2 linked regions of the Schizosaccharomyces pombe genome follow. The protein of the gene in region 2 interacts with the protein of the main gene of each other region in a pairwise test. Each region holds a gene or a part of one and is shown on either strand. Other genes may lie near its edges.

Region 1 (7,304 bases), on a different chromosome or scaffold from region 2:
TCATCATATGCCTGAATTAATGAAAATTTCAGGATGTGTTTATATAGTTTTTCTGAATCTGACGAGATACACAAACACTTGCTTTAAACTCTATCATTTATAAATTAGAAAAACACAAAATATTTTGAATTATTCATTTAAAGGATGTAAAATTTTGACTGTTCGCAAATTTCAAAAATAATTGTAATTTCCACTAATGGTAAGCAAACTATGCTAAATGTACTTCGAAAGCTTTCGTACTCTAAAAATAGAATGGCCCAATAACATTGATATAAAGTGCTAGTCAAAAAGAAAACAACACTAGCGTATGGCTCCATTGTTTAAATTCTATGATGAAAAGTAGAAAGATTGCTTTCTTAAAAAACGCCAACGTAGAACCCAATATGGCATGGATACTTTCAGAAAATTACTGGATTGAGTTTAAGCAAGAGAGTCAGTCGGCAGCCGACTGTTCATAAAGTCTTGGTAATTTAAATATATTTGTTTTGAAATTTAACGCGACATAGCGTAGAGTAGTTAATGTTCCGGAAATTGATTACAGTGCTTACCGTTTGCCATAATTTGTGCTCGGAAGCTTTGTTTGGTTCTGCAAGTTATTTATTTCATAATAATTTATGGGATTTTAAAGAGGAAGGTGATTAACTTGCCGCCATTTCGTAAAGCAAGCAATTGCATTTCTTGGTTAGTAGCATACTAACCCTTAATTATTCTACAATTTGTATTGAGAAACCCTACATCTGACGATTAAATTTTGTAACTCAATCGAACTATCTGCAACTTAAAACTTTTGCTTACGCCACCCTTCTCGACTCATCTTGGTGTGCACTTTAAGTTAAAGAATGAAGAAGCTGTTTAAAAAGAAGAAGGGTGTTAGCCCGCACATGTATATGCTTCCCGAGGAATCCAACTCCAATACGGCAACCAATGCTCCCTCATATTCGGTCGGTGGAACCACGGCTAATTCATATTCTTCCAATAGTTATAACGACAATAACAACAGCAATAGTACATATGGCTCATCCAACAATTATGGAAATTATGGTTCCTCCAACAATTATGGGAGCTACGGTGCCTCTAACACCTATGGAAGCAATGGTTCTTCCAACAATTATGGAAACTACGGTGCAACAAATTCCAATGGAGATGCTGGGTATTCCATTACTCCAATTCGTAATGACCCCTACGCTAGAAAAGACATGCCACCAATGAAATCTTCTGCTGCAGTTACGGAGAGGCCCAGCATGCATCGTTCTGCTCCCAGTCAAGACACTTTAGATCTCAAAAAACAGGAATTGTTCGCAGGAGCACGTATCCAAAACGATGATGAGTCCACAACGGATACTATTCCCCACAATGATGATGGTACTGAAGGAGATGAATATGGCGAAGGATACCGTGATGGATATGAGGAGGATCAAGAAGTCGAGGCCATCAAACAAAAGATTCAATTTGTCAAACAGGATAGTTTGTCAAGTACGAGAAATGCTTTGCTTATGGCAGGAAATGCCGAACAAATGGGTCTAGCTACGTTAGCCAATTTGGGAGAGCAAACCGAGAAAATTGCCACTGCTGAAAAAGAGTTGGATATTTCAAAAATACATGCTAAAAGGGCAGAAGAACAAGCTCGGGAACTGAAAACGCTTAATCGAAGCATGTTTGCTATTCATGTGCCAAAACCATGGGGAAAGGCAAAGAGAGTCGCTGCTGAAGAAGCTCGTTTGGCCGCAAAAAGAGATGCTGAACGTCAAGATGAAATGCTGAATCGCCAATTCGCATATCGATCTCAGAAACGCATAGATCAGGCTATGAAAGACAACATGAAATCAAATAAAAAGAAGGGTGACTCAAAGGGTGTTTCCATTTTAGAGCGTTCTCATTACCAGTTTGAGCCAGATGCCGAGGATGATGCTATGGAGAAGGAGATTGATGGCAATTTGGACCAAATAGGAGCACTGGCAACTCGATTGAAAGGTTTAGCTTATGCAACAGGACAAGAAATTGATTCACAAAACGCTCGTCTTGGTTCTATTCATGATAAAAGTGATCGCCTCGATACTGATGTATATCTGAACGTTGAACGACTTCGCCATATCCATTGATTTTTTTTAAACCACCAATCGTCTGTATTAGCTCTTTCTTGCTATCTGAATATTGTGCTGTCCTTTTATAATTTTTTAATCCAATACCATTCGCGGTAGCCTATTCGTGTTGCAAGTAACTATTGCAAACTAATTAGATGTTGCAGCTTTGATAGTGGTATTGACTGTTAGTTTTTATTCTATTTTTTTGTGCTGAGTACGAAATGAAGTGAATCCATATCACATAGGCATTTTCGATTTCCATGTTTTTGAGCTATTTCGGTATGCATTAATGATTTGTCAATCGATGGCAGTTTCTTTATTTCATTGCTCGCCAATGTCAAGTCAATTTTAATAGACATTTTTAACCTATATCATCGAAACCTTTATACGCAGCAATATCAGAGTAGATGTATATGATGCATCCAATTTAAAGCATGTGTCCTTACGATTATACTATCAATAGTTTTTTTAACCGGTTTAAATGCAATTAATACAATCAATATGACAATGTAAACCGTTAATAATTTGTTAGAGAGTTTTACTAATTTCCAATAATTTAGGGCAAATGGTTGAACATGAAAGTACTTTGATATCTTCCCTATAGAAATAGCCTTTTATTATTTAATTTGTTAGTTCATCCAATATAAAATATTATATTAAGCGATCTGTGAAATTGAGAAGATAACGCAAGATCTCGCTTACAGTTTACTCTAAACTGTTGTGATATTTCGTTAGCCAATTATATTGTACAAAACTACGTGAAAAGGCATAAAACTCATAGCTAACCAAAACTACGAGAAAAGCAGGTTTATTCTGTTAAGTAAATGTATTTGAATCTCTTTGAGTATAAGTAAATTGCATTAAAAAACGTTGTAGTAATGGTAAAATCAATGACTAAAACAAATGTAGAAATATCAAAAGGTTGCTAGTACACTATTTTCTTTACAAGTACTTTTCATTAACAGCCTTACGTTCATCAAAAATAGCAAGAGCTTCTTGAGCAGCTTTGATGCCGCTAAACATCATACCACCGAAGGTTGGTCCCATACGGTTGGCACCATCAAATTCAGAAAGCTCCATACCTCCAACAATCATTCCTGGAAAAACTTCACGAGTTCCCTTTACAATAAGGTCCTCAGCACGGTTCATATCTAAAGGACGCATGTCGTGAAGGTTAGAAACAAGTTGAGCACTGGCAAGGCGCTTGACACAGAAAGCGCCGAATGGACCATCATGACCAGTAGCAGAAACAACCAAATGGGCATTAATAGTGTTTGGGTCCATGCAAGATTGAAGACCGTGATTCAAGGAAACAAGGGTCCAATTTGTAACAACACCGGCAATGCGTTGCTTACCATCTTTTCCTTCCTTAACAATCAAATCTTCAACAGCAGTGGCATTGAAAAGTTTGACATTAGGAAGTGCCAAAGTACGGGCCATAACAGTGCTGGTGAAAAGAGCGGCATGTTTGACCACAACATAATCACCCTCATCTTCGTAAGGAACACCAATTTCATTTAAGAAAAGATCAGCTGGCTTACGAACAACCATTGCACTAAAAAGCTGACCACCAAGCCAAGCACCACCACCTGGAGCAACACTAGCCTCGATGATAGCAATCTTCAAATCAGGGCGGCGAGTTCCAATGTAGTAAGCTGCAGTAAGTCCTGCAGAACCAGCTCCAACAATAACAATGTCGGATTCAGCATATTTATCCAAGTCGCTGAAATAGCGACGAGTCATAGCACGGCTTACAGTGCTTTCACGAATAGGAGCAAAGCTAAATGACTCGTCCAAAGAGTAAGTAGGGTAAGCCTTTGATAAAGCACCCATTTCACTTTTCACTACAGTGTTATGAGCAGTCTTTTCAACTGGCAAGTCAGTCTTGAAGGCAGTTTGGGGTGTAACGACAGCAGTAGCAGGGGCCATTTTGAAACTTAAGAATAATATTCAGAACCGATAGTGGAATGTTCAATTGATGCTGAAACATGCTATGAGCCCCCTTTATATATCAAAATTCTTACCATCTTTCGACTTTCATTTTTGTGACTACAAACAAACTTGCCTTTGGCTGCCGGGTTCATAACTCCGTAGTATCAAATTTCGGTTACATATTTCCAGTTTCGGTTGCAAATTAGTGGATCTGATTTTTTAAGCTTTTCTGGTCATTTTATATAAATCTTTGCATAGAAATAGTGTAGTCTGATGATATGACACAAGCATTAATATTGAACAGAGATCGAATTTTAAAGACAATTAGCGTCAAAAAAATTAATTTTTTAATGTTAGACTTAAGATCAATAGTACCACAAAAGTTTAGAGACTTTTCTAACATAAAATTGCCATATTTCAAATTTGATAAAAGTGTTTCGGACTCGGAAGCTTGCAAGTATGGCGAGTATTGGGTTGCATTCGTAAGTGTAATTGATACATGATAAATATCTGAATATGCAGCTATTATTTGCTGATTTTGTTCGCATCCAAGTAACTGATCGGCGGCGATGAATTACAGATGGCGTCTTCAAATTAAAAATAAAAGCCTCATCACAGTAACTACCCGTCATTAAAGATTACAATCTCATTGGAAAGTAAAAAAAGAGCCAGGTGATACGGATAGACATCAATACATCTCCCTTTTTGATTGAAGACAGACTTGGGTGTTTCGTTAGATAGTTCATCGTGATTTCCAAGCCAATGACTTTTTGACTGTTATAGCAACTAACAGGTTATTAATGTAACTTTGGCTTATATATAAAATCATATCCAATGGCTCACCAACTAAGGATGGATGCTATTATACAAAGCATTTGCATAGTCTTCAAATAAATATAAATTGAAGGGTTGAAAGGTCAGCTGATGATGAAAAAAAGATACCTTGATTTTCTAAAACTCAACTTCAATCGATATAACATTCTTATGTTTCGATTAAGCCAGTTTAGATGGTGGTAAAGACATAGCATGCCATCATAATCGAGAGCTTTTAAGCTCGGAGTCTTAATGAACACATAACTTATTGTTATTAATGAAACATATTCATTATTCAATATATGAGATATTTTGCAGCAATGTATACAACCTTCCAAGAAGGTTTATTGTATTTGCTTCTTCGACTCATTAAGGTTCGATAGTAAAATTTTACTAGCATATCCTCATTATTATCCTCTTTTGTTAAATATGGTAATTTAAAAAATATTTTAGTTAAAAACTCTCCCTCCGGGATTCGAACCCGGGCTGCAAGCGTGACAGGCTTGTGTACTACCCCTATACTAAAGGAGATTATTGTGAGGATTACTAATTTGCAAAATATAATTGTCGTGTACTTTGTGTTGCATGAGCAACTTAAATAGTTTAGTCAGTTTTTGAAGGCTTCGGATACAGTGAAGAAAGAAGGTAAGAATTTATCTCTAAAATTACTTTCTTTGGTCTTCTTCCCTACACGTCTCGCATGTATTATATTTATCTGTAACGATGAAGATTGAAGAGATTGTGATTAATTTCATTTTTTGTTGTAGGCTGCGATAATTCAAAAGTTGAAAGACAATGGAATTCAATAGTTACAGCCATTGATGGCTGATTTCGTCAATTGAAATTTTTGGCAGCACTTTCATAGCTGTGTTTCTTTACCTTTACTAAATATACCGTAAAATAGCTTTTAGTGTAAAAATGTTAATAGAATTCGGGCTAATGCGATTGAGTACGAAATTAAAATAAGAATGACAAATGTTGTTGAGCTAAATAGCACAAACCCAATGAGTGCATTAAAAAGTAGAGAATTAATAATATTGTTTTGGAATTTAAAAAAAAGAAGCCTACAGCACCCCGGATTCCCATGTTGTCTCCAACCATAGTACTAACGAGGCCCTCAGACGCTTAACTGCAGTGATCGGACGGGAACTGGTGTTTTCGCCTAGGTATGGCCGTAGACGACTTGTTCTTATAATTGCACTATATATATTATTCCAATATAAAAGAGATACTCTAATGTTATATACTAAACTCTTTTGTCAATGAACTGTAAAATTTTTAATATCCATATTCTTATACTTTGCACGAGATGTACAATTATTGAAATCTTGTCTGTACGAATTTAATTTAGGAAATATTTTAAAAAAGCTAGCCAAATTGGTTTTGAATTATTTTAATATTCGGATATTGGTTGTTTTGCTAAAGTGTTTTATATCATTTAAAATTAAAAAAAAAAATAGAAAAAGTTTCAAAAATAGCTTTGAAATTCTCTCAGCTTGTTAAAATACTATGAAAAAATAATAATAATTTTTTGAATTATTTATTTGCTAAATTCCTTTTGTGTTTGTAATATAATTTTATATACTGGATCTACTTAACAGCTTTGCCTCCGTTTGTTGTATTAATATTCTAATGTTTACCTCTTTATCTCAGATTAAAAAAGAAGTAATGGGACAACTATTTTTTTTTTTCAGTTATCACTGGTGAAATCTAATCAATGCATTTCATACAATTCGTAAAGTATAGAATATATTATTAAACAATCTTATATTCATTACAAAAACTTTTTGCCATGTAGCTTTTTCAACATTCGACTTATTCAATGTATCTCTTTCCTTAAGCTTTGATTTTAATGCTGAAAAAAATCCGTATCTTATTAAAAAATAAAATAAAATTAAAGATTTCTGTGATATTTAGATACATAACTATTCGGCCTTCGTGTATAACAACCCCATATTGTTCGCTTCGTTATCTCGTTATTCACCCGTCGAAAATGGTAGCATCAAATATATTTTGTGACCTTCACCAAACTCATATAATTCCACAAGGATTTTGCTTTTGCTTAATCCAGAAGGGATCAATTCACTGTGAATGACTGGAACGAGTTTTTACACTTCGGTACTCAGATTGGGACGATTGGCTCAACAGGGCCTAAAATTCCAATCTGTAAAACATATTCGTCCATCATGTTTTTCATCTTTTGGATTACAAGCTAAACGTTGGAACTCTACTCAACAAAATGATAGTTCTATTGATTGTTTAGAACCTAAGCTGCAAGGAATTATTGAAGACAATATTTCTCCCTCGACGGCACAAAAAGAAATATCAGACATCAAGTTTAATATTCCAAAGGAAATGCTTCTTCCAGATGGAACTCCTGATTATTTACGTTTGACTCTCACGTCTAACGTGTATGAAGTTATCAAGGAGACTCCTCTTACAAAGGGTGTTGTCATTTCTGAAAGTACCGGTGTTCCA
Region 2 (9,119 bases):
ACATTTTTTTTTGTCTTTGATGTACATTGCATAGTTTCATGGCGTATTTATGAATGTGTAGAGGATAAGTTCGAAACAACTTAAACTTGTAATTTTTTTAGTCATATTTATGAAAAGGATTAGTTAGGAAGTGATAGAATATTTGACATAAAAATCAGGATTTCAGTACATCAGTAATTTAAATTCCGTTCTTTGACTCTATGAAATCACTAGACGCTTGGCTAATTTATCATAAAGAAAAAATTATTTAATGATTTTACTTTTCTTCAATCAACCTCTTTTCATCCATATTTTATTTTCGCATCAATGAATAAAAATTTATGATGGGTAAGTAAATAGAATTATCTGATTTGTTATTTTGTGGGCATCACTTCTGTATTCATGTATTATTAATGAAACTTACTTAGTTTTCATTTATGTCTCTCTGTGTACTATTAATTTAATTCAAAAAATTCAGAAATGACCTGTCAAAATAGCCTCTTATGAATGCGGTTAATGTATGAGTTATTGACTGATAAAAAAACTAGATGCAGGCACCCTTGCTAAATTAATCAATGATGATGATGATTATTTTATTTTATAGCTTGACATTCGTTCTTTTTTTTAACCTTTTATTAATAATGGGTTAAATTATAACATCATATCGACTGGGGATGTAGTTTAGGGGTATAACGTTTCATTCGCATAGTTCGCACCTTGAAAAGGTCCCGGGTTCGATTCCCGGCATCTCCAATGTTAGAAACTATTTTTCCTTTTTATCCACATTTGTTTTATTTATTGACTACACGGCAAACAGGTTACATACACAAATGTATACTAGAAAAAATATAAAAGTGAATTTACTAATATAAGTAAGATGAGAACATTCTCTCAATGAATACACAAAAAATTTAAATCTATGACTTTGAGGAAGTAGTTAAAATAAATTTGTTCATGTAGCTAGCATAAATCATCGGCGTTAGAAAAAGCGGTGTAAGAATCATGTAAGTTCGAAATGTAAGTTTCTTCAGGAGAAGAATTTAGCATTTTGTGCAAATGAATTAAAGTATCTAAAGCGTTAACATATTAACAATAATTATTATATTCAAAAATTTACCAGAAAACGTAGAAAGTCCATCGATAAACAAGGTTTTTTTTATTCTTTCGAAATGCGATTTACAAGCATCTGCTGTCCATAGGTGATTAGCATATTCTGATAAGCATTTCCAATCAATCATCCGTTCCTCTGCAACATTAAGGTCCATCATTCTGAATTTAATTAGCTTCTTATTTAAAATTTTATAATTGGAGTACCTTTCAATTAACCATATACTATCGCCAAGTTTGAAAGGGGAACTATTATGTATATCTCTGGAAATTAGTGTGTAATACTTCCACCTACAATGATGACGGTGTCGATTTCTCATGTTTTTAGAAATTAGACTCCATTGAATAGGGGATGAAGGATTGCTTTGCAAGTATTGATTAACCGTTTTGATTAATTTTTCTTTCTCCTGGATAGTCCATGGTGAACGATTGATTTCACCAGGTTGAATGTAGTCGCGCCAATGATCTCTGCAATGCATTGGTAGTCTATTCGACAATTTGCCAATTAAGCTCCAGGATGTTCCATGTTTTTCAACAAGTCTATTAGTTAGTTGCAATTTGGAAAGTAAACTACATACTTTTTCAATTCTGCCTCATCTTCTATAGTCCATTTACATTTTTTCTTAAATGGATTATATTTTCTGCGGAGATAATTGTAAATACTCTTTTTATCCCTATCGATAAGCTCATCTATTATTAATTAGTAACAAGTGATAGTAATTGACTTACACAAACAATTATATAATGTTTTCATTTCATCACGATGGTTATCAGACCAAACATATTGAAGAAATTGTTCATCAGACCAATTTTTTTTCTGTTTTTTAATATTTATAATAAAACAGCAAGCTAAAGACCATACCTTTTTAAACATAGCAATTTCTTTTTCCAAAGTGATAATGTCGTTTGCTCCCCATGATCCAGACGACGCTTTTTTAACGTATTGAAACCTTTCATAACCTGGAATGTTAAAATATCCCTTAAGATGCCTATACACAGTCCTTCGTGAAACATTGGGCACTTGAATTTCTAGACTTGAATTAGCGGATTTTTTTGAAAGCACTCAGGTGTCATACGAAATTGAATGAGTAAATTATTGAAAGGTTTTGGAAGTCTTTTGGTTTTAATAAGAAGATCTCTCGCAGCCACAAAGTTTAATTCGCTTTCTTTCAAAAATTCATCAATTAGTTGACTTAACAGAACCCAAAAAGTGGGTGTCCAGTTGGTGTAATCTCTACTGAATACAAAGTCTTTATATGAAGTAGTGCCTGTTTTTTTGAAGCCTCGACATGTTTCATGGTCTTTCGCACTTCCAGCAATTGCTGTTTTCACATTTTCAGGTGATACCATAGTCTCATCATAATTGTATTCATGAAAGCTTATGGGGTTTCCCAAGTAAATGAAAGAACTTGTATTTTTCGAGTCACCAATGGGTGATAAGAGTTGATCATCGACAAAGAGCTCTTCATTGTCCTCTGTATCCGGTCTGCAACTTAAATTGTTTTTTCCTTGCATAATAATGTTCACTTGTCTGAAGAAATATTAAGAAAAAAACATTGACAAAAGGTAATCAGTATAGCAAGGGACCCGGGGTGTAATAGTTCATGTAAGACAAAACCAAATAGCGCAGGCAACTTCAATTATTCAATCTATAATTGAACTTTTGATACTTTGCAATTCTGAATTCTAATTAACTAGTGAGCCTGTTAAAATTGGGTAACATTATAGAGCGTTGGTGTAGCTAAATAGTGTACGATACATGCAGTGATGGTTTTTGAGAGCATTTTTAAAAAAATTTCAAAATTTCTTAAGATGTGACTCTCTTGTTTATGATATATACATGTAAAATTTTTAAAATAGAAAATTAAGTATGAGTGGTTTAGAAGAGTTTTTTTAGTTGAAAACGTTTACAGGTATCTGCCTCATATCAAACTTAAAAAAAAAAAAGAATAAATTAAAACGATAAAATATCTCTATTGGCTTTTGTTTACTAATAATCACTATTTTTTATCAATTAGGTACAAAGTTCCTGCCTATGTTAAAATTATTAGGGTAATAACGTGTGTCACCGATATAATTACTACGATACATAGTATTTAATAACGAAACTGTAAAGCTCGTTAACTTTCCAGTGATTACCTTAACTTTCCATCTACGTTAGTTGAACCAGCGAATGTAGCTGCCATTTACCTACTCCAGGGAACACTGTTAAAAACGTCTTTTTGTGAAAAGGAAGGAAAAATAGAGGGATCTTCAAAAAAGTTATTAAATAATTCAGTGTTTCTTTTCTTTTTTTTGCTAGCAATATACCACTGTAAGTAAAAAAAAATACACTAAAGCAATGAGTCAGGAGGACGCTTTCTACGGAAAGGGTAGTTATGGAGCTAGTAGTGGAAATTCGAATATACCTCCTCAAGGATTTCAGCCAGTTTATCCAGTTGCTGGCCAGCTAGATAATACCGCTCCTTATGTCGGGGCAGTTGCTGAGGGTACAGCTGAAGGCATTGTAAGCAATGGTGAATACGCTGTTGGAGCTATGGGTGCTGCTCCTACCAACATAATAGGATCTGTCGATCAACAACCACCCGTTTCTCATACCTCTCATAAGTCTCGTAGACAGTATCCTGCTGAGGTGTTTGAACTTACAAATACCTTAGCAGCGTCACCGGCTCCCCCTTCTCTTTCAGAGCCCTCTTACGTTATGGCACGAACTCCATCCTCTTCACCATATCCTCATGATCGCGCAGAGGTGGGAACTAAATCTCTCTCTGCACAATTTGGCGGAATGTCACTTGGAGCAGATGGTGCAGCAGCTATGCCTACCAATGAGTTAGTTTCTGTTGATTTGTACAATCAAACACCAGAAATTTCTGACTTAACCTCTCCTCCTCCTCCTATTAATTTACCCTTAAGCTATTCCGCTACTGGAGCAGCTACTTCCAATTGCCCTCCCAAATATGTTCGATCCACGATAAACTGTGTACCGACAACAAATAGCTTGTTAAAAAAGTCAAAAATTCCATTTGCATTAGTCATCCGTCCATATACTAGCTTGGTCGAAGAAGATGATCCAGTTCCAGTTGTTACTGATACTATTATATCACGATGCCGCAGGTGTCGTATGTATATCAATCCTTTTAGTATCTTTATTGACAATGGCCATCGCTATCGCTGTAATTCTTGTGGTATTGTTAATGAAGTACCCCAGTCATATGACTGGGACAGTTTCAGAAATGTCCAACGTGATCGCTGGCAACGTCCTGAGCTCAATTATGCAGTTGTTGATTTTATTGCTCCTCAAGAATATATGGTTCGTGCTCCACAACCTTTGGTTTACGTATTTTTAATTGATATTTCGTTTGTATCCATATCTTCTGGTATGGTTGGTACTGCAAGTCGTGCAATTCTGGAATCATTGGATCGCATCCCCAATAAAGAAGGACGTGCAAAGGTGGCTTTTATTGGTGTAGACAGTGCCCTGCATTTTTTTTCAGTTTCCCCTGGTGCTGAAGAAGCCACCCAACTAGTTGTTTCTGATTTAGAGGAACCGTTTTTACCCAGGAATCAAGATTTGTTACTTAATTTACGCGAATGTAGACAAGGCATTGAAAACTTACTCGAGCGATTTCAATCAATGTTTGCAACTACCCGTGATTCTAGTAATGCCCTTGGACCAGGTCTTAAGGCTGCCCATCGTCTCATTGAAAATATTGGCGGTAAAATTTGCTGTCTCATTTCGAGTCTTCCTAATGTTGGTGTTGGTAAATTGGAGTTACGTGAAGATCCTAAACTTTTGGGAACAAATCGTGAATCTAGCCTTCTTCATCCCAATGACTCCTTCTATAAATCCTTCGCGGTGGAATGCTCCACGTCTCAAGTCTCTGTTGATATGTTTCTTTTTTCTTCTCAGTATCAAGATGTAGCAACCTTAAGTTGCCTTCCTAGATACACCTCTGGTAAAACCCAATTCTATCACAGGTGGAATGCTTCCCGTAGCGAGGACGCTCTTAAATTTGCTTCTGAACTTACTAACTATCTCAGTATGGAGATTGAGCTAGAGGCGGTGATGCGTGTTCGTGGATCTAACGGTCTCCGTATGTCTTCTTTCTACGGAAACTTTTTTAATCGTTCAAGTGATCTATGTGCGTTTCCTTCTTTTCCTCGCGATCAGAGTTATGTAGTAGAGGTTGTTATTGAGGACACTATCACCAAGCCCTTTGTTTCTTTCCAAACAGCTATGCTCCATACTACTTGTAACGGTGAAAGACGGATTCGTGTACTGACTATTTCTCTTCCTACTACCAATAGTATGACTGATTTATATGCATCAGCCGATCAAGTTGCCATTGCACAATATCTTACTGTCCGGGCTAGTGAAAAGGCTCTTTCTTCTACGTTGAACGAAGCCCGTGATAGCATTATAAGTAAGCTTGTAGAAATTTTGGAAGTTTACAAAAAAAATTTGGCTGGACAAAACACCGGTGCTGCGATCCCGCTTCAAATAAGCACCAATTTAAGACTATTACCATTGCTTTGTTTAGCATTGACGAAGCATACTGGATTCAGAAGATCTAGTCATATCTCATCTGACCTTCGTTCTATTGCTCTATGTTATTTAAGTACTCTGCCAACTCCTTTACTAATGCGTTACATTTATCCAACTCTTTATTCTTTGCACGATATGCCTATTGAAGCAGGAACTGTTACAGAACAGGGTGTAGTTCTCCCTTCTGCGTTAAATCTTACTTCAGCTTTGTTGCAATCTTTTGGTTTATATTTGGTTGATACACACATTCATCAATTTTTGTATATTGGTAAAGATGCAGTTCCGCAGCTACTGATAGACGCATTTGGTGTAAACTCTCTTGCGGATTTGAAAGCTGGACGTTTTACAATGCCAGTTATAGACAACCCACTTAACGTTCGTATCAATGCGATTCTCGGTAAACTTCGTTCGTTGGATAAAGGTTCAACTATTATGCCTAGTCTTTACCTTGTACGTGGTGATGGTGATCCACAATTGCGCTCATGGTTTTTCTCTCACTTCGTCGAGGATCGTAGTGAGAACTCTCCCAGCTATTTACAGTTTTTGCAGACTCTTAAAGAGAAAGTTCGTGACTAAAGGCTGTAAAATCTGGCTACTTTCTACAAAACTTTTTTAAATTGATTGTTCTGATGGTAATATATGCCTGAATTAGTGACATGATTAATTAATAATATTCAATATGGTTAAACATTCTTTGGTTTTTTGTATTTTTAAGAAAAAAAAAATTTAAATAATTGATCTAGTAAATATACTTGGTGCTTTTTATATTGATGAAAGCTATATATGTATCAAACTAAATTAGGTATTTGCGTACATGTAGCTTCCAGCCAGCTTGTACATAAATTTTAGCTTTTATACCTTGTCTATTTTCATATTACTTGATGTTGAAGTTGTTCCAAGAATAACAAAAGGTTCTAATAATTTAATTTAATTCATTACAATTGAGTTGCAGTGTATAGATTTTCAATTTCGCACTTTAGAGCTTCACATCTTCTATTTAAAGCATAAAAAAAATATTAAATATTTATTAAATTTCATTTTCATTGCAATTAGATTATATATCCAGGCGAGTATTCACTTATATTGAAAAACTAATTTAAGAATGTAATTTTGCACTGCGGTACTAGGTGCTTGGCAAGTGGTAGAATTTTGCCTTCTGCCAAGCACTCCTAATTGTAGTAATTAGATTAGAGAGTCGAAATCCTATTATTTTAAAAAGATGGGAATCAAAGAGAGGAATGCACCTTCTCAATATAAACAATCATCTCGTAAAAACAAACGAGCATGGAGGAAAAATATTGATTTGGAGGATATCGAGTCTGGTCTAGAGCAGACTAGAGATGAGGAAATAAAAGGGTATATTAGTTTTTGCATTGTATTAATTAAAAATATTTTTATTAACTTAAAACAGTGGAAATGTCGAGCACAAGCCGAATGATGCTTTATTTGTAATTGACACTCTTGGTGATGATAGAATTGCAAAAAGAAGCAGAAAAAAAATTAAACCATTAAAGGTTGATCAAATTCTTGAAAATAAGTCTTCCATAGAAAAAGTTCATTCTCATTTAACGAATAATTCAACTGAAAGCAATAAGAAAGGAAAAATTTTTTCTAGAAAAGAACTAAATAGACTACAAGCTTTGGTGTATAAAAATAAAGATGGTTTAACCGCAACTTCTGCTGCTAGTGAGCTCAAAAATACCAAACAACCAAAGGAAAGTTATGATGTTTGGGAAACAAACCCAACAGTTACTATACCTGTTAAAAGACCTTCTACATTATCTAAACTACCCGAATCTTTAACTGAGAATAATGCAAAAGTCCCAAATGTTGTTATCGCTGATCCAGGAATGTCATACAATCCTGACGCTGCAGCTTGGATGAAGCTACTTGATACCAAAGGTTCAGAGGAACTTAAGAAAGAACAGAAAAGAATTAGTGAATTAGAGGAAAAGGAAAGAATACAGAAGAAAGCTTTTGAAGACAAGGGATTAGTTTCAGACCAAGACGTTAATCACAGCATTGATTCTGATGACCAGTCTGAACACGAACAAGCAGAAACTCCGATCCCTTCTTCGAAGAACAAACGAAAAACCAGGTCTCAAAGAAATAAGATACGCCAAAGAAGAGAGGAGGAGCTTAGATTACTTGAGCAAAAGAAAAATGAAGAGCTTCTGAGGACGATCGACAAAGCTCCTGCAATATCCAAAAAACTGCAGCAAAAGGATAAAGCTGAGAAATTCTCTAATAAGGCTGTTTCTTCTAGCACAACTGAAATCAAACTGAAGAAGAAAAAATTCGGTAAACATCGATTGCCTAACAACCCACTTGAAATAAAGTTGGGAGATGAGCTGACTAGTTCCCTTAGAGAGCTGAAGCCTGAAGGAAATTTGTTTGCCGATCGCTATTTAAGTTTACAACAAAGAGCAATGGTTCCTCCATCTTTGCCAGTATTGAAGAAATCAAAGTATCGTGCAAAGATCAAGGAAAAATATAGTCACAAAGACTTCCATCTTCAAAAAAACAGTATATAAAATATATTTTAGCTAGGGTATAAATTGGGGTTTTTTTTATTTTCACTTACAAATAATAATTAATACTTGAATAATGTATGGAGCTTAACAATAATACTGTCATATAGATTAACTAATGTACACTGTAGATAATAATTTAAAGACGAAACTTGTCTCTCTTGCTTTGTGTTTTCTGTCGTTTCGCAGCACCAACCTTCATAGCCTGCTCAGACACCAACTCCGAAAGCTCATCTTGCCAATTAGAACTTTGATTTAACGCAACATCTCCTTTGTTGGTTGATGAGAGCATGGAATGTGCATTCCTTTTTTGTGGAAGAGTATCTTCAGCGGTAGGAATGTCGTATTGATGCTGAGGACCCATGAAACCTGAGATATTAGTAGATTTTTCAGGTAAAACTTGATATAAGTCTCGATTAGCAGCATCACTACTTGGTTGAGTATTTTTTCGTAATTCAACATTGTCAACCTCTACATTAGATTGATTAAAATACGTTAAGGGCTCTGCATGCAAATCTTCCCTCTGTGACCTAGGCTCTGACGCTGACTGATATTCCTCAATCGTTTCACGTTCAGTAATTTCTTCAGTAGGATATTCTACGTCTTCGCTCTCTTCCTCTTCACTAGATTCTTCTTCCTCAAACTCCTCCAATTCACCCCAATGCTGAGTGCTCACAGGCGAACCTGTACCAGCATGTATTCGAGGTTTGACATTACCAAACACGTCGCCATAAAGAGGACGATTAAATTGGTCCACAGGAGGTTTTCCCCAACCACCAGGATGAAATCCCCACTGCGCTCCAGTCGGAATTGGACAATTCACACCGGGAATTTTAAGATCTGGATAACTTGGAGGAGGCCCGTATCTCTGCATAGCAAATAACCAAGGAGGAGGTGCTCCTGGAGCAATTCCCAAGGCTTCACGGAGCTCCTCCGAAATGTCGCCGGGCCTCTTT

What was found.
Region 1: the proteins of sec24 (region 2) and thi2 interact in a two-hybrid assay, tested with the Schizosaccharomyces pombe proteins (2 studies listed by BioGRID).

The regions. Positions count from the first base shown.
Region 1 is NC_003423.3:3,937,280-3,944,583, reverse strand, and holds thi2 (thiazole biosynthetic enzyme), read right to left. Parts: upstream 4,059-7,304; 5' UTR 4,011-4,058; coding exon 3,024-4,010; 3' UTR 2,885-3,023; downstream 1-2,884. Other genes in the region: sec9 (protein transport protein), read left to right, coding at 840-2,099; tda1 (threonine ammonia-lyase), read left to right, coding at 6,918-7,304. UniProt on the Schizosaccharomyces pombe protein: Involved in biosynthesis of the thiamine precursor thiazole. Catalyzes the conversion of NAD and glycine to adenosine diphosphate 5-(2-hydroxyethyl)-4-methylthiazole-2-carboxylic acid (ADT), an adenylated thiazole intermediate.
Region 2 is NC_003424.3:4,796,328-4,805,446, forward strand, and holds sec24 (coincidence detector Sec24/Sfb2 subunit), read left to right. Parts: upstream 1-3,267; 5' UTR 3,268-3,427; coding exon 3,428-6,208; 3' UTR 6,209-6,325; downstream 6,326-9,119. Other genes in the region: RNA polymerase I termination factor Rtf1, read right to left, coding at 940-1,049, 1,097-1,248, 1,294-1,626, 1,665-1,776, 1,816-1,903, 1,949-2,115, 2,163-2,601; rRNA processing protein Rrp16, read left to right, coding at 6,852-6,988, 7,044-8,166; putative U2 snRNP-associated protein Sap145, read right to left, coding at 8,303-9,119. UniProt on the Schizosaccharomyces pombe protein: Component of the coat protein complex II (COPII) which promotes the formation of transport vesicles from the endoplasmic reticulum (ER).